2 linked regions of the Lonchura striata genome follow. The protein of the gene in region 1 interacts with the protein of each later gene in a biochemical or structural test. Links are inferred from orthologs where the notes say so. Each region holds a gene or a part of one and is shown on either strand. Other genes may lie near its edges. The genes, in order: ANXA1 and protein S100-A11-like.

Region 1 (9,116 bases):
CAGTAGTACTATGTATGTTCTTACAGCAATACATTAGCATTTACTTACAAAGGCAAGTTACTAGAAACCAATTAGCTAATCTATCATCTATGCCCATTTAGTTTGATCATTTTGAAGTTCCCTTGTAAACAAGGGTTCTTGTCTCATCATTTACTGACAGTGGAGATCTTGTGTATTATGTTAGGAAAAAAGAAATTCCCTTGTTAATATACTTTCGTGTAATTTCTTTGACTAGACATTTTCTAAGGAAGATGAGTAAATCTGGATAGTTTTGTATACATTGCTTTTTCTACAATTTCTGCATAATAATAATAAAACATTACCAATTTAAGAAGAGGAAATAAAAACAAGTTTTGCTTTTTACCACTAAGAAAGAAAGTCCACCCATCTTTCCCAAAAGTCATTATGCAGAAAAGGAAAAAATGAGAAGTGATGTAACATTAAGTACTCAAAAATAATTAACAGGTTGCTTCATAACAACTTCTGTTGTTGGTGTGGGGAATATTCTGTTTGTTAACTGAAATAGTGAGGAAATAGAAAGAAGAAATAAATAGTTTATCAAATAAAATTATTCAAACTAGATTTTTTTATTCAAGTTATTCAAACTTATTTTTTTAACACTCCTCCTCAGCAAGGTCTAGGGAGGACTTGGTTTTAAAGCAGATGTGTAAGCAATAACTAGAGATAGTGCTACTGAGTAAACAAGACTGATTTTGAAACTGGTGTTAAGAGACAAAATTCTTTTTGCAGTCTTGGAGTACAGATCATATACACAATTTTAAAAAATCATGTTAGTTATGCTGCTAACACATCCCCTCTGTCCTATAGGAAGGGTAGAGACCAGCCTTTTGACTTTGAAGTTGTGAACCAAGGAGTGTAGCTGCAGCCCAGCTCTTTCTTCCCCTCACAGCTAAACTGTAAAGCTTCCTTCTGCACTCAGCAGTCAAAAAAGTGACAAATAAATACCTCACACAGGCTGCCAGCAGCTCTCTCCAAGGTAAGAGCTAGCCATATTCCCTCTTCCTCAAAAATCTCTTGCTTTTGTTTCCTTCCCTCAGGAAGGAATTTAGTGCTGCCAGAAAAGCTGAAACTGATTTAAAATCGGGATTAATATGTTATTTACAGTAAGTCTCAAATGGGCAAGTAATGAACAGAATATTCAGTCAGATTTAAAGATCTACTTTTATGACCTGCTATTTATTCAGGATCAGAAAAGCATGCTCACAGCACAACTGCAACCTGCACTTTGCTCAGGCTGTCAGAGTGACTTCTGCATCCTTCTACTGACCGAAGTTAACAGTGGCAGATGAAGCAGTATGGTACCCAAAATTCTGCTGCATTTTGTAACAGCACACATGAAGGCCATATGCAGCGGGACGGAAACACTTGAAAGTCTCCATACTGGGAACACTGAGTCATCAGTGCTGGCATGTCCTGGTATGTCTGCTGACTAACTGATTCACAGAGCAGAGAACCACTTCAAACTATGAAAAAAGATTCAATCTCCCAGCACCAGATCTGAGAAGACATGTGTTTTGCCTGATAAAGTAATATTCTTCAGGGAGAGCTACCTTCAGGAAGCACATCCCTTTCTTCTACATATTGCTACATGCACCCATGACACCAAGATCTAAAGGTTCCCATGCTTTTGGGGTTGGCTAGAGCAGAAGGCTACTAGACTATACTAAACTGGTTTTATTAAGCCTCTAAAGCTTCATGTCTTTTCTGGCTTAAATGATACAGTAAGAAAAAAAGTCTGTGCCTTAAAAACTTTTTAAAGTTCTTTTTTTTTTTTTTTTTTCCTTTTCTTTTGAAATAGAGACGCTGGCATGCAGATCCATCTATTTCCATCTAGTAAAGAAAAAATGCAATTTTAATATAAGTCAAAGTAGTCAACAGCCCTTGGAGGGAGCTGAAGACCTTAGTCTTCTTGAATTAGCTTTGTAAGGTAAGAAACCAACTTAATATAAAAGTCTTCTGCTTTGGAAGAAACTACAGCTGATAAGTAAAAAGAAGGCTGGCATCTAGAAAGCCAGCCCCCTGATGGAGACAAGATCTTGCCAATACTTTGTCCTGCCACTATAAAATGTAAAGAGATCTTGTTAACAATACCTAAATCCAGGAGGGATACATTCAGTCCAAATAGCACTTCAATATATTATGAAAAGGACTGAAGCAACTGATTCCCTGTTGGAATGATCAACATCACAACAGGATTGAAAAATCAGACATACATCCAGACTGAAAGCCCTAACGGTTGTTTCACAAAAATCACCACAATTTTGCTTTCTGTCTGGCTCTTAATCCCTTGAAGATGCACCCTTGAAAAGGACCAATCAAAAATGTTTAGGATTTTGAGAAAATACTTTATTAAAAATATTTAAAGACACAACTAGATTTTTACTCTATAATCTGTGTCAAATGACAGCATTTATCTATGCTTATTTAACCATATCATGAAGCATGTCAAATGCCTGGCTACTTTCAAACGCTGAATACCAGGATCTTGATGTAAATTACAGTCATGTCAGTCAGAAAAACAGGCAGGAGATCTAATACAGTAATTTACTTTGCAGTAGAAAGTCTCTGAATTTGGAAACATCAAAGAAAAAAACAATCTCATCCTTGTAAAAGTCTGGAAAAGGAAAGCAGCAAGAACCCCAGATGACACAGCTTTTACATGGCTTTGCCAAGTTCTTAGTCAGAAAAGCAAGATTTTGTCTTACGTTTCTAAAACATGGGATGATTTCTACATTTGATTTCTAATTTGATTTCTAAGATATTTGATTCTCATCACTTTCATGAACAATGATTGCTCTACAGTCATAGTGCAGCAAACTGTTGTTGAACTAACAACAGCTGCTGCTATTTTTTAAGTTTACATACACAGCATTGTTTTCTAGGAACTCCGGTTTTACTACAGATTTCTACAGCAGCCTACTAAAAAGGCAAAGATAAAGCAAATGAAATGGTCTACTACAAGTAAGTTTGCTTTTGAAGTTTTAACCGTATTTTATTTCATTGCATTAAATAAAAGCAGTAATTTCCCTAGCCCTTATGTAAAATGTTCTAGAATAGAAAGAATTTCTCCTACCTGCACCCATATTTTTCCCTGACAATAAAAGTCCAACCCACAGAAAGTTTACACCAGGTCATTTGACAAATTCAGCATACAATTCCTAAAGTGCTGGGTCTACAGAGAGCAATAATGAACTACAAAATCCTACCTTTCTCCTCACTAGCACCGTTTTGCTGGCCTGCACAGTCAGAAGCAAAGGAGCAGAGGGCTCTCAAAGCTTTTGTAGCCTGTGCAGGAAACTCCACCCAGCAACCAGTGTTTCCACAGCCCTAGTAATCATCTGCAGCAGCTATATCTGGGTGCCACCCAAAGTCTAAAAACATTAGGAAAAAAAAAAAAGTCATTGCGAAACTATGTGCTGGCGAAAGTATGAGCAGCTTTCAGAAGGGAAAAGACAACAAATGAGCAGGCCATGGTAGCACTCCTGCCCTGACCACACCCTCAGTTTTAATAAATTGCCATAAATATTTTGGTATCAGACAATTATATCTTAAGAAAAAAAAATGGGTAATTCTCTTCACATATTTATGTTTGATATAATTTCAAAAGTGACTGTATTAAGATATATCTTTGCTCAGTGAAACTTAGGGAGAAGAAAGGGTGAAGAGTCAAGGCAGCATCCTCACTTCACTGAGATCCGGTGGCTATCAGCTCTGCAGCTTTTGAATGTGGGTCCATGGCAGAAATAACTCAGGAATAAAACATGTATTTCATGTAAATAACTTTTTTTTTCTTGGAAACAAACTCATAGAAAAAGCAGACTTAATACAAGGGCAATAATTGGCACCTACATAATTAGAAATAAATTGAAACAATCAGATTAAACTCTGAAGTTCAAAGCGAGAGTGATTTGCACAAGATGAGGGCCTATCTGCTAGAAGGTTTTCTGCAAGCACTTCCTTGCCAAGCCAGCACAGCACAACGCCATCACTAACACCTCAGATTGGCCTGGAGCATGGTGCCCAGTGAAGAAATACCTGTTGCTGAACCAGAAGTGTTTGCAATGGGCAGATGGGGTCCCAGCAGACTTTCATCCTCCTCCTGCTGACTGACTGCAATGCACAGGTACCTCCAATATGGCTGATCTGCCCCACATGAACACACATGAAATGCAGTCTCTCCTTGAAGCCCATGTCTAGCAATTAATTGTATGAAGAGGAAGAGGAACAGACTGATGGTAATTATTAGATGGAATGCTCACAAATTTCTCAAATGCAAAATAACAGACATGCATGTTCTTGCATAACTTACATCTTTCTCTGTACACCCAAATATGTGCTGCTCAGAGTAATCTGCTCATCACATTCAAGGAGGTCCCCATCCCAGAAGCCTGAGAGAGCCTCCAGGAGTGCTAAGGATACGGCAGCCTCAGCCCTCATTCCCCACTTGAGCTACTGCCCTGCTGCCTTGCAGAGGGCTGGGACTGAAAGTGGGACCCAGCCTATGTGCTGATGGTCTGTCACATTCCCATCCCCAGAGAGGTGTCAAATGCTTGAAGCTGGGGCTGCCTACAGTGCCAACTCCACGTCTTTTGCTGCTGGCTGGGGTGATGGGATAGGAGGGCTTCCAGGTCCTGCCTGCTGAGCCCCATGGGAACACTTCTAGCCCCCAGGGAGTCCCCAGTCCCCCTGACTCTCTGAGAGCAATTTTCTCCTATGCTTTGCTATTTCCCTTCCCTCTGTACATTTATCATTTGACAAAAGTATTTCAGATGTTTCCAGTAAACTGAATAATTGAAGCTGACAAGGATACAGTGAGCAAGCTATCAGATGTATGTAGATTTGTTTATTTAATTATGATGTGTGATGTACAGACTACTTGAGCCCACCCAAATTCCATTTCAGAATGACACTAGCAGTCTTATTTCAGTTGGCTTAGGTGTTGGCCAGAACCTCTACTTTTACTCTTTTTCTGGAGCTGTTTCCCCTGTCTATTAATGAGCATAGCTAAGGGTAGGAATCAGTGTACTAGAAGTGCATAGTAAGACACTCCTCCATGTTGACTTTTTTCTAATATAGTTTTTTCATAATCATATTCCTACCCCATTTTTATCATGGTATTTTTTACTTTTGGTTTTTGGGCTTTTTAAAATATAATTGTATTGTCTTTCAGGCCAATGGTTCCACCTTCAGAGTGATATCACAGGAAAGTACAACTTGTACTAATAGTCATTGAAGAAGCTGTTGCATTTGCTTTTCCTCCTTAATGGGTGGACAGATGCTGGTTGACTCACTGTCTTCCTGGACCTCAGCTGAGTCACCATCAGCACTAGAGTGCTTTATTGTACAAAATGCTGCCACTTAAAAAAATGCAGTTTTGCATTTGGATGGAGCTCTTAACAATTGTTTTTTATTAAGTTTTTAACTCTTACTATGTCATTTGTTTCATAAAGCTATCACAGTTTGCATACTGTTTATTGTTGAGTTGTCATAATTTTTTCAGAAGAGGCAAAGCATATAGCCACTGTTGTAGAGGTTCAAATGTCTCAAAAGTGACAAAAATAAATATGTTTGTTTACAACACTCAATGCATGGAATGCAACAGAGAAAAACAGAAATGTTCAGTGAATATAGAAAAGAAAAATGGTAACTTGATAAACTGCCAGATTTGGCCACGCCAAATATTTCTCTTAAGGCTAGTAATGACTCAGCTCATTTGGGAAGATGGGATTTCCCTAAGCAATCCATCCTACACAAAATGATAGGAAAGTGAGTCAGGAATTTTCATGGCGTTCGAGAGCGAGAGCAGCAGCCCTTACATCTGTTTCTGAGGCTGCTACCAACCTGCTGTAACTCTGTGTTTATTCCACCCTAGGTGCCTTAAAGAAGAGTTAAGGTTGCAGAAATTTAGGAAATGATGAGTCTACCACATTTTACAAATGACCTTCAGACTGCCTATGAGATAAACTTTAAGAGAAAATTGATGCTCACATTGTTATGAAATAGCATTAGCCTGAGGGAGCTACTGACAGTATGGTCAGGCAATAAATCATAAAACAGAGCTCTGCCTGTTTCATGCCATGACAGCCATCCATTTTGAACCGTCTGATAGCAATCCAGAGCCACTGGGAATCTGCCTCTCTGATCTTTGGCACCTTAGCTTTTATAGACTTCCTAAAAACCTGAGGAGAAACACATTACTTGGCTTCCTTAGGCACCCAGGACCTGCAGCGTAGCATCTCTACACAGGTTACAGGCAACAGAGACATTAATATCAAAGATACAGATCTAAGAGTATGTATGACTTACAGCAGGCCTACTGAAGGCAGTAATGCTCCCAAGAAGACATTCCAGAGATCATGCAGTGTTTTTGCTACATATTCCTGTACAAATCCTATTTTAGGAAGTGTGTCTCAGTTACATTATTCAGAAAAATATCTTTCTGCATATTGAGATACAGGGCCACCTCAGACCTTCATCTCTTCCTTTGACACACACAAGAGATTAAATATCAAATTCAATGAGAACAGCTACACTATCTATTAATTTGCACGTGATCTGCATGGTTCTAGTGAGGTCCATCTAGAGCCCATTTAGGTTGTGATTATGTATATCCCTGTGATCCTATATTATGGGCTGGATGGATTCAAATCTAGATATGCAATTTCTTTTTTTAGTTTCATGCTTAAGCAAAAAAATATTAATTAGACACAATAAGACATTCAAAACTGCATAATATCTCTTATGGATTATCTGTTAAAAGTTTATTTCTATTGTATTTTCCATTCAAATCATGTTTCAGTTCTGAACCTCTTTGCAAGCTTGTAAATAGGGAAAAGATTGGGCAACATGCATTTGTTGATACTGATGCAAAACAAATCATAAATATTTTTGAGGCATCTTCTAACAAGTATTCATTTTATTTACACTGCATAAAATATTTAACACCTCTGTCTTTTAACATGGATTTGCATTTTGTTATTGCCTCATGAAATACTAAATTAGCAATAATTCTCAGGCAGCAGGAATTCCATGGTTTAATCAAACACACATCTGTTTCTATAACCAACTTTAATACTTACTGCTCTCTTAGTTGCAGTAAATACTTCTTTGCAGTTTCCTAAATTTTTAGAAGTGTAATGGGATATTCTGAGTCTTATGGTTAAACATGGCTTGGCTATCCAGAACACACAAAATTTTTATGAGCAGCCCCCTACACAGAGAAATAAAAATAGCCTATCCTCTCATAGAAACAAGCAGAGTAACCACATGAGAAATCATGTCAAGGCAACATCATTTTGGAGAGTAGAAATCCTATTCAGTTTAAATTAACTCAAGTTCAGAGAAATGCTTCCAGAAGCTTTTCAATATCTCAGATAGTCTTCTAGACAAAAACCCCTATAACTGTGTGCCAAAGTAATTTATATGAGGAAAATGTAGACCTTCTAGGAAGCCTCTGGGAAAAAAACATTGGAAGACTTTGTTACACGTATCTTCATGCAAATCACAGTAGAGTGAAACAGACCTGTTTGATGATAAAGTTCTGACAGAAATAGTAAATTACAGTGGAAGGTAAAGCTCAGTGAACATTCAGGGGAAAGTGCTAAGGGGACAAGGAAAAGTGGGAATGCATAAGCTTTTTACAGTCCTATGCAGTGTACAATGCTAATCTGAGGGTGCAAATAATGACAGAAGAGTCATTCAGGTCCAGGGAACATAAGTGAATTTAAACAATTCTACTGTGCATAAAAGCTGTGGAAATGTCAGTGCCCTTAATGGAGAAAATGTCCAAACATCTTCCCCGACAAAAAAACCAAAACCAGAGAGTTGGTGGTATGTCACAACTGATTTTAGGAGGAAGGGAACTGGGCTTTCTCTTCTAGGGAAACCAAGCAGCAGGATGAGCAGTCCTCTGCTTTACAAGAGACAAAACCCTGCTGCACAATTAAGTTGTTGTGACTTCAAAGAAAGAAGAGACAATACTAATTAGCAAAAAATTAATCAGCAGATCAACCACCTGTGGTACTGCAATATGCAGGTTAAATATATCCATCTGGGATTTCCCAGTTTATTCGGCATTCTGAAATTGATTCCTTGAAGTAACTTTACATCTGCTGCCATTTCTTGCACCATTTTTTCTTTTAAAGTAAATTAATATTATAAATATTTATAAAAACATTCTTAGCAAACTGTGCTCCATTGGTTGCTGTTGAAATACATACCAGTGAGTGGATCTATTAACAAAAAATGTCGAGGTTAAACAATAAAACATATTTTATTCCCTGTCTACAATGAGGAGCAAGTGCCATGCTCTGAATCTTCCGAATCACTTCAGTCAAGGTCATATTTTTTTTCTGAGTGGCATCGCCCTGACTTGGGTCCCACTACGATGAAGAAACAAGAATTACATAATAAGTGCATAATAGTAAATCATGTTTTGCTTATTGTGTACATTGAAGGTGGGGTAAGAACAGTCATAAAAACCTCAGGAAACTATGCATTCCATTCACTCGTGTAACATCTTGTTCCCATAACAGTGAGGGTGGTTTGTGCTTAGAAGTTTTGGGAGACTGCTTGGCTATTACTATTTCACTCAGCAGCTTACCTGCCAAAATTAGGAGACAACTAATTCACAATTAGTCAGTGATTGCAAAACTTGTTTGCTTCTATGGAACATTAGAATAGTTTAACCTCAGAAAAAATAGAACTTTTCATGTACCTTTCTCTCAAATCTACACAATACTAAAGTGTTGATAGTGAAAAATCTAAACTGAAGTATTTCATTTGAAAATGTATTTTTTCTAACCTCCATTTTATGCATTTTTTTCCCCTCGATTTAAATATAAGTTTATTGTTGGCTTTCAGGAAAATATGATTTGTATCCAGGATATTTCCTACAGACACCTTCATTGTGATGTTGAACAGGAAATCTTTATTGTGTTTGCAGGTAAAACCCCAGAAAACTCCTTTTGTTTCAGTTTTACTCTAGACTGAATTGCCTCAAACTTCTGGGGAAGAAATACCACTAGGGCACAATGGTGCAAGTCACAGTTATTAAAGGGAAATTTTAAAGAGTTTAAGCTTGCTTCTGTTTCAGA
Region 2 (8,565 bases), on another chromosome or scaffold:
GGGAAAGGGAGGAAGAAGTGGCCACAGTCAGCCTGAGAGAGACACGGGAGAGACGAGAGCGAGAAATTCGTGAGCTTGATGATGGAAGGAGAAGACAAGAAGTGTATGACAGGAGAAGAGAGATCTCAGTGGCAGCAGCAGAAGCCGATGTCAGAGTGCGCCGCGAGATCCGGGAACGAGGTGAGGAGCTGAGAAGGAGAGAACGTCCCTGTGAGGGTGAGGAGGAAGAGAGGAGAATTTCCCAGGTCAGAGACAGGGAAGAGCCCCTGAGGAAAGGGAGAATCGACCGTGAACAGGAGCTGGATGTGTCTGAGCGTCGGACACGGGAAAGGGAGGAAGAAGTGGCCACCATTAATCTGAGAGAGACACGGGAGAGACGAGAGCGAGAAATTCGTGACCTTGATGATGATGGAAGGAGAAGACAAGAAGTGTATGACAGGAGAAGAGAGATCTCAGTGGCAGCAGCAGAAGCCGATGTCAGAGTGCAACGTGAGATCCAGGAACGAGGTGAGGAGCTGAGAAGGAGAGAACGTCCCCGTGAGTGTGAAGAGAGGAGAATCTGCCCCAGAAGAGACAGGGAAGAGCCCCTGAGGAAAGGGAGAATCGACCGTGAACGGGATCTGGAGGTGTCTGAGAGCCGGACACGGGAAAGGGAGGAAGAAGTGGCCACAGTTGGCCTGAGAGAGACACGGGAGAGACGAGAGCGAGAAATTCGTGAGCTTGATGATGGAAGAAGACAAGAAGTGTATGACCGGAGAAGAGAGATCTCAGTGGCAGCAGCAGAAGCCGATGTCAGAGTGCGCCGTGAGATCCGGGAACGAGGTGAGGAGCTGAGAAGGAGAGAACGTCCCCGTGAGGGTGAGGAGAGGAGAATCTGCCCCAGAAGAGACAGGGAAGAGCCCCTGAGGAAAGGGAGAACCGACCATGAACAGGATCTGGAGGTGTCTGAGAGCCGGACACGGGAAAGGGAGGAAGAAGTGGCCGCCATTAACCTGAGAGAGACACGGGAGAGACGAGAGCGAGAAATTCGTGAGCTTGATGATGATGGAAGGAGAAGACAAGAAGTGTATGACAGGAGAAGAGAGATCTCAGTGGCAGCAGCAGAAGCCGACGTCAGAGTGCGCCGCGAGATCCGGGAACGAGGTGAGGAGCTGAGAAGGAGAGAACGTCCCTGTGAGGGTGAGGAGGAAGCAGAGCCAGGGAGGAGAATCTCCCGGGTCAGAGAGAGGGAAGAGGCCCTGAGGGAGAGGAGAATCGACCGGGAGCGGGAGCTGGAGCTGGAGCTGGAGCTGGAGGCCTCTGAGTGCCGCAGCCGCCAGCCACGGGCCAGGGCGGCCGAAGTGACCATCACTGACCAGAGGGAGGCACGTGAGGAGATCCGGCTGGACGTGCTGGAGGAAGAAGAGGAGGAGGAGCTGGAGCAGGGCCGGTGCCGCTACCAGACCCTGGACGTGGATTTGGGTGATCCCTGCCCCCTGGGGCAGGAGGTGCCCGTCAGTGACCTCAGGGTCCGCTACCTCCCCGCTGAGCCCGAGCTCCGGCCCGATGTCCGGCCGCTCCCCGAGCCCGTGGAGCCTCAGACCGTCGCCTACCTGGTGCACGTGATCCAGAACCTGGAGGACCCCAAGGCCACCACCTACGAGATCGTGTGCCACCAGCCCGGCCAGCGGGGCCGGCCCGTGCGCATCCGGACCTGCTCCGTGTCCCCGCGGCCACCCACTGACCGCAGGGGCCACCCCGAGGCGCTGCCACCCGAATGCCAGGACAACCCCGAGGCTCCGGATGAGCCCCGGGAAAAATCCGGGAATGAGGTGAAGGACGGAGCCCTCCGGGATTCCGCCGAGCCGGAGGCTGGGAAAGGCGAGCGGGTGAAATCCAAGGAGACCCGGAGGCGCCCCGAGATCCCCGAGGTGGAGCAGGGCCAGCCCCAGGGTGAGGGACCCCAGAAGGTCCCGCGGGAGCCCGGAGCCGGCTGCCAGCGGAGAGAGCGCCAGGACAGCGAGGCCAAGAGCTGCGTCCCCCCGGAACGTCGGGATGCGGAGCGGAGAGACCCCGGGGAGACGCGCAGAGAGGGAGGCCAGGAGGGTGAGGAGGCTCCTGAGGAGGAGCCCAGCAAGAGGAGCCCCCGGGAATCCGGCAGCTCCCAGGTTCCTCGGGAAGGTGGCACCAAGCAGGGCCAGGAGGCCCCGAGCCGCCCCAGGGATGAATCCAAGACATCCTGAGGAGAATCTGCCTCTCCCTGGAGCCTCTCCGGTCCTTTTGAGGGTCACTTCTGCGCCCATTGCCAGCTGGGGATGCGGTGGCCCGGCAGGGATGGACTCAAAAGGATCCCGGGGTGTCCAGTGGGGTCTGGGGGCTTTTCCCTGGAATGAATCCTCAGCAGGAAGCAAGATCCCCGCAGATCCGGAGATTCTGCCTCCCTGTTGAGTGTGTCCCTCGATATTTAATCACTTTTTCTGCTCTGATTGGAGTCCTTGGGTGCCTCTGTCCTCTTTTGCACCCTGGGGTGTCACTTCAGGTCTCCCCGGCCCCAGGGCTGGGGCTGCTCTCGGCTTCTGCCGTGAAACTCAAAGAAAATTCCTGATTTTGGGGTCTAGAAATCCTCGAGGCTGGGGAAAAAAATCACCTTTTTAGCCTCGATTCCAGCAGAATTCCAGCTCCAGGCCCGGGGGTTTGGGGTTCACAGGGTGCTGGTGGTGGGTGGGGGATTCTCCTTCTTCTCCTTTTCCTTTTCCTTCCTTTTTGTCGCATGGAAAATGGGAATAAACAACTGATTCCTGCAGAAGCTCTGAGCATCACCTTCCGGAGGGCTGGGAGGGCTGGGAGGGGGGCCCAGCTCGGATCAGGCAATCCCAGTTGGGATCAGACATTCCCAGTTGGGATCAGACGTTCCCAGTTGAGATCAGGAATTCCCAGTTGAGATCAGGCATTCCCAGTTGAGATCAGGAATTCCCAGTTGGGATCAGACGTTCCCAGTTGGGATCAGACATTCCCAGTTGGGATCAGACATTCCCAGTTGGGATCAGGAATTCCCAGTTGGGATCAGACATTCCCAGTTGGGATCAGGCATTCCCGGTTGGGATCAGACATTCCCAGTTGGGATCAGGAATTCCCAGTTGGTATCAGGCGTTCCCAGTTAGGATCAGACATTCCCAGTTGGGATCAGACATTCCCAGTTGGGATCAAGCATTCCCAGTTCAGCCCCCAAACTCCTCCTAATCCCAAATCCTGATCCCAATCCAAACCCAATCCCACTCCCAAATCCCGCTCCAGGCCGGAGCCAGGGGCTCTCCCAGGGCTCTGTCCCCATGTTGTCCCCAAGTGATGGGGACGGGGACAGGGACAGGGACAGAGGGACAGGGACAGGGACAGGGGGACAGGGACAGAGGGACAGGGACAGGGACAGGGACAGGGGGATAGGGACACAGGGACAGGGACAGGGACAAGGACAGGGACAGAGGGACAGGGACAGAGGGACAGGGACAGAGGGACAGGGACAGGGACAGGGACAGACGGACAGGGACGGGGACAGGGACAGGGATGGGGACAGAGGGACAGGGACAGGGACAGAGGGACAGGGACAGGGGGACAGGGACAGATGGACAGGGACGGGGACAGGGACAGTGGGGATGGGGGCAGAGGGACAGGGACAGGGACAGAGGGACAGGGACAGGGACAGGGACAGAGGGACAGGGGCAGGGACACAGGGACAGGGACAGGGACAGGGACAGAGGGACAGGGGCAGGGACAGGGACAGAGGGACAGGGGCAGGGACACAGGGACAGGGACAGGGACAGGGACAGGGACAGAGGGACAGGGGCAGGGACAGAGGGACAGGGACAGGGGGACAGGGAGACAGGGACAGGAGAGGGACAGGGACAGAAAGAGGAACAGGAACAGACACGGCTCGGTGACGGTGACAGGCATGGGGCCAGGGACAGGAACAGGAACTGGGACAGTGCCAATGCCAGTGCCAGTGCCAGGGGCAGGGCCAGTGGCACAGCTCGGTGACAATGCCAACGGCAGGAACAGTGACTCTGGCAGGGACAGAACAGTGACACTGGCACAGCTCGGTGACAATGCCAGGGACGGGAACAGTGACACTGGCAGGGCTCGGTGGCAGTGCCAGGGCCAGTGGCACAGCTCGGTGACAATGCCAGGGACAGGAACAGGAACAGTGACACTGGCAGGGACAGAACAGTGACACTGGCAGAGCTCAGTGACAATGCCAGGGACAGGAACAGGAACAGTGACACTGGCAGGGACAGAACAGTGACACTGGCACAGCTCGGTGACAATGCCAGGGACGGGAACAGTGACACTGGCAGGGACAGAACAGTGACACTGGCACAGCTCGGTGACAATGCCAGGGACAGGACAGTGACACTGGCACAGCTCGGTGGCAGTGCCAGGGACAGTGACACAGGAAAAGGGAAATTCCCTTTGGGAAAGGTGGCTTGGGGGAAAATCCCAATATTCAGGAAAAATGGGAGTTTGGGGGCAGGAAACTGAGGGGAAAAGGAAAAATCTCCCAAGTCCCAGAGGAATTCCCGGGATCCCAACACTCATCCTGCTCCCCGGTGTTTAACCCCTCTCTGTTCCAGACAGCCCCAGAGATTTTTGGGATTTTCCCCTTTTTCCTGCTCCAGGCTCCCCCTGAATATTTTGGGATTTCCCCTTCTCCTGCTCCAGGCTCTCCGGGAAGATTTTTGAGGAAATTTCCCCCCTTTTTTTCCCCAACCTCCCCGTTAAGATTTTTGGGATTTTTCCCCCGCTCCCCTGGCCGAGGACGACCCCAGGGATATCCCGGGACGGAGCAGGATTTGGGAATGCCCGCACAGCCCCGGAGCCGGGCCGGGCACATTCCGGAGGCTCGGGAGGAGCCGCGGTTGCCGCTGGAAACGGGAATTGCTCAACGCGGCCGGCGCTGACTCAGCCCGGGCGGGGCTCCCGAACTTTCCCCGAGCTTTTTTCCCGATCCTACAATTCCAGAGCGGAGCGGAGCCGCCGCTGTCCCAGCCATGGTGAGGAATTCCCGGGAATTTGCGGGGGGAAACGGACCCGGAGCGGGGAAAAGGAGGTTTTCCCGCAAAATGCCTCAAAATCGGAGCGGGACGGAGGCGGGGATGGTCCCAAGGGGTGGAATTTCCAGGGAAAAGGGAAAAGGGTCCGGCAGGTGTGGGAGAGGTGATTCCAGAGGGGGAAGGGGAGGGGAAAGGAGATTTTCGCACAAAACGACCCAAAATTGGAGCGGGGAGGGGTTAGGGCGTGGTCCCAAGGGGAAAACGGCGGGGAAGAAACGGAAAAACGGAAAAAAACCGGGGGAAAACAGTGAAAAAACGGGGGAAACGGGGAAAAAACCGGGGGGAAACGAGGGGGAAATGGGGGCGGGAACGGGGGGAAAACCGGGGCAGAAATCGGGTGGAAAATGGGAAAAAGCAGAGAAAACCAGGAAAAAACAGGGGGAAAAAACAGAGAAAAAGGGGGAAATGGATGAAAACCAGGGAAAAACCGGGGGAAAAAACAGAGAAAACGGGAAAATGGATGAAAACCAGGGAAAAACCGGGGTGGGTTGGGGAGAAATGGGGGGAAACTGGGGAAGAACGGGATTATCTCCCAAAAACGCGCCTCAGCCGGAGGCCGGATCCGGCCCGGCCCTTCCCACCCCGCGGGATCCGCCGCCTCCCCGGGGATTTTCCAGGAGCCGCTCCCGCTCCGCTTCCCGCTGTGCCAAGGAGCGAAATCCAGGGAAAAATGCGGCCGAACGGGTCTGGCTGAGCCCTTCCCACATCCCCAAAAAACCGGGATCCTCCTCCAGCCTTTCCCACATCCCCAAAAAACCGGGATCCTCCTCCAGCCCTTCCCACATCCCCAAAAAACCGGGATCCTCCTCCAGCCCTTCCCTCATCCCCAAAAAAACCGGGATCCTCCTCCAGCCCTTCCCACATCCCCAAAAAACCGGGATCCTCCTCCAGCCCTTCCCTCATCCCCAAAAAACCGGGATCCTCCTCCAGCCCTTCCCTCATCCCCAAAAAACCGGGATCCTCCTCCAGCCCTTCCCTCATCCCCAAAAAACCGGGATCCTCCTCCAGCCCTTCCCACATCCCCAAAAAACCGGGATTGCTCCTGGAACACCTGGAAGGGGCAGGGAGCCTTTCCCTGCTCCCAAAAAACCCCAGGATTTCTCCCTGGAACACCCGAAATGGGCACAGGAGGTGTTTCCCTGCTCCCCGGAAATTCGGGATTGCTCCTTGGCACACCTGGAGTGGGAAGGGAGGATCCTCTAGCCGTTCCCCCATCCAAAAAAAAAACGGGATTAGGGGGCCTTTCCCTGCTCCCAAAAGACCTGGAATCGCTCCTGGAATGGGCAGAGGAGGCTCCTCCAGCCCTTCCCTCATCCCAAAAACACCGGGATTGCTCCTGGAATGGGCACAGGGGTCCCACCCTCCCTCATCCCCAAATCCCGGGATTACCCTGGCACACCTGGGATGGGCACAGGGATCCCTGCACCCCCAAATCCCGGGATTGCCCTGGCACAGCTGGGATGGGCACAGGGATCCCTGCACCCCCAAATCCCGGGATTGCCCTGGCACAGTGGGATGGGCACAGGGATCCCTGCACCCCCAAATCCCGGGATTGCCCTGGCACAGCTGGGATGGGCACAGGGATCCCTGCACCCCCAAATCCCGGGATTGCCCTGGCACAGTGGGATGGGCACAGGATTCCCTGCACCCCCAAATCCCGGGATTGCCCTGGCACAGTGGGATGGGCACAGGGATCCCTGCACCCCCAAATCCCGGGATTGCCCTGGCACAGTGGGATGGGCACAGGGATCCCTGCACCCCCAAATCCCGGGATTGCCCTGGCACAGTGGGATGGGCACAGGGATCCCTGCACCCCCAAATCCCGGGATTGCCCTGGCACAGCCGGGATGGGCACAGGATTCCCTGCACCCCCAAATCCCGGGATTGCCCTGGCACAGTGGGATGGGCACAGGATTCCCTGCCCTCCCTCACCCCGAATCCCGGGATTTGCCCGCAGCCCACGGAGACGGAGCGCTGCATCGAGTCGCTGCTGGCCGTGTTCCAGCGCTACGCCGGCCGCGAGGGCAGCTCCGTCACCCTCTCCAAGCGGGAATTCCGCGCCTTCATGGACACCGAGCTGGCCGCCTTCACCAAGGTCCGGGAACGCGGGCTGGGATCCTCGGGATCCACGGGATGGGGCGGGATCAGTGGGATCAGTGGGATCCGTGAGATTGGAATGGGATCCATGGGGTGGGATGGGATCCATGGGGTGGGGTGGGATCAGTGGGATTGGGATGGGATCCATGGGATTTGGATGGGATCCATGGGATTGGGATGGGATCCATGGGATGGAGTGGGATCAGTGGGATCCATGGGATCTGTGGGATTGGGATGGGATGCATGGGATTAGGATGGGATCCATGGGATTGGGATGGGATCCATGGGATGGGGTGGGATCAGCGGGATCCATGGGATCTGTCGATTGGGATGGGATGCATGGGATTTGGATGGGATCCATGGGATTGGGATGGGATCCATAGGATGGGGTGGGATCAGTGGGATCCATGGGATTTGGATGGGATCCATGGGATTGGGATGGGATCCATGGGATGGGGCGGGATCAGTGGGATCCATGGGATCTGTGGGATTGGGATGGGATGCATGGGATTAGGATGGGATCCATGGGATTGGGATGGGATCCATGGGATGGGGTGGGATCAGTGGGATCCATGGGATCTGTCGATTGGGATGGGATGCATGGGATTAGGATGGGATCAATGGAATTGGAATGGGGATAGCATCAATGGGATCCATGGTATTGGGATGGGATCAGTGGGTTTGGGACGGGATCAATGGAACTGGAATGGGATCAATGGGATCCATGGGATTGGGATGGGATCAGTGGGTTTGGGACAGGATCAATGGGATGAAGGGGATGGGGTGGGATGAATGGAATCCGTGGATTGGGGGGGGGGGTGGGATTGGATCAAGGGGATCCATGGGATCAATGGAATGGGATGGGATTGGATCAAGGGGATCCATGGGATCAATGGAATGGGATGGGAACGATGGGATGGGATCAATGGGATGAGATGATCCGGGGGCTCCCGGCCCTGGGGATGTGCCGGGATGGGATCTGGAGCGGGTTGAGGGATTGTGGGAACACCACTGACCGCGGCTGTTCAGGGATTTTCCATCCCCAACCATTCCAGGATCCCGCGAGCTCCCAGCCCTGCCTGGGCAGGGAATTCCCCTCAGCCCAGGCACCGAAATTCCCGTTTTCCTGCAGAACCAGAAGGACCCGGGCGTGGTGGACAGGATGATGAAGAAGCTGGACATGAACAGCGACGGGCAGCTGGATTTCCAGGAATTCCTGAACCTCATCGGGGGCATCGCCGTGGCCTGCCACGACTCCCTGATCCTCAAATCCCCCAACCCCTGAATCCAGAGGCGCCGGCTCCGCCCCGGATCGCCCCAGGGAATGCTGGAAGTCATGGAATGCCCCCATTCCCTTTCCCCCCCCGACTTTTTTATGGATAAA

What was found.
Region 2: the proteins of ANXA1 (region 1) and protein S100-A11-like form a complex in vitro, tested with the Homo sapiens proteins (2 studies listed by BioGRID). The link is inferred for Lonchura striata from reciprocal best matches to the Homo sapiens genes ANXA1 and S100A11.

The regions. Positions count from the first base shown.
Region 1 is NC_134642.1:70,460,326-70,469,441, forward strand, and holds the start of ANXA1 (annexin A1), read right to left. Parts: upstream 3,321-9,116; 5' UTR 3,228-3,320; intron 1-3,227. UniProt on the Homo sapiens protein: Plays important roles in the innate immune response as effector of glucocorticoid-mediated responses and regulator of the inflammatory process. Has anti-inflammatory activity.
Region 2 is NC_134635.1:3,538,394-3,546,958, forward strand, and holds the start of protein S100-A11-like, read left to right. Parts: upstream 1-4,911; 5' UTR 4,912-5,021; coding exon 5,022-5,024; intron 5,025-7,041; coding exon 7,042-7,179; intron 7,180-8,313; coding exon 8,314-8,466; 3' UTR 8,467-8,565. Other genes in the region: TCHH (trichohyalin), read left to right, coding at 1-2,222. UniProt on the Homo sapiens protein: Facilitates the differentiation and the cornification of keratinocytes.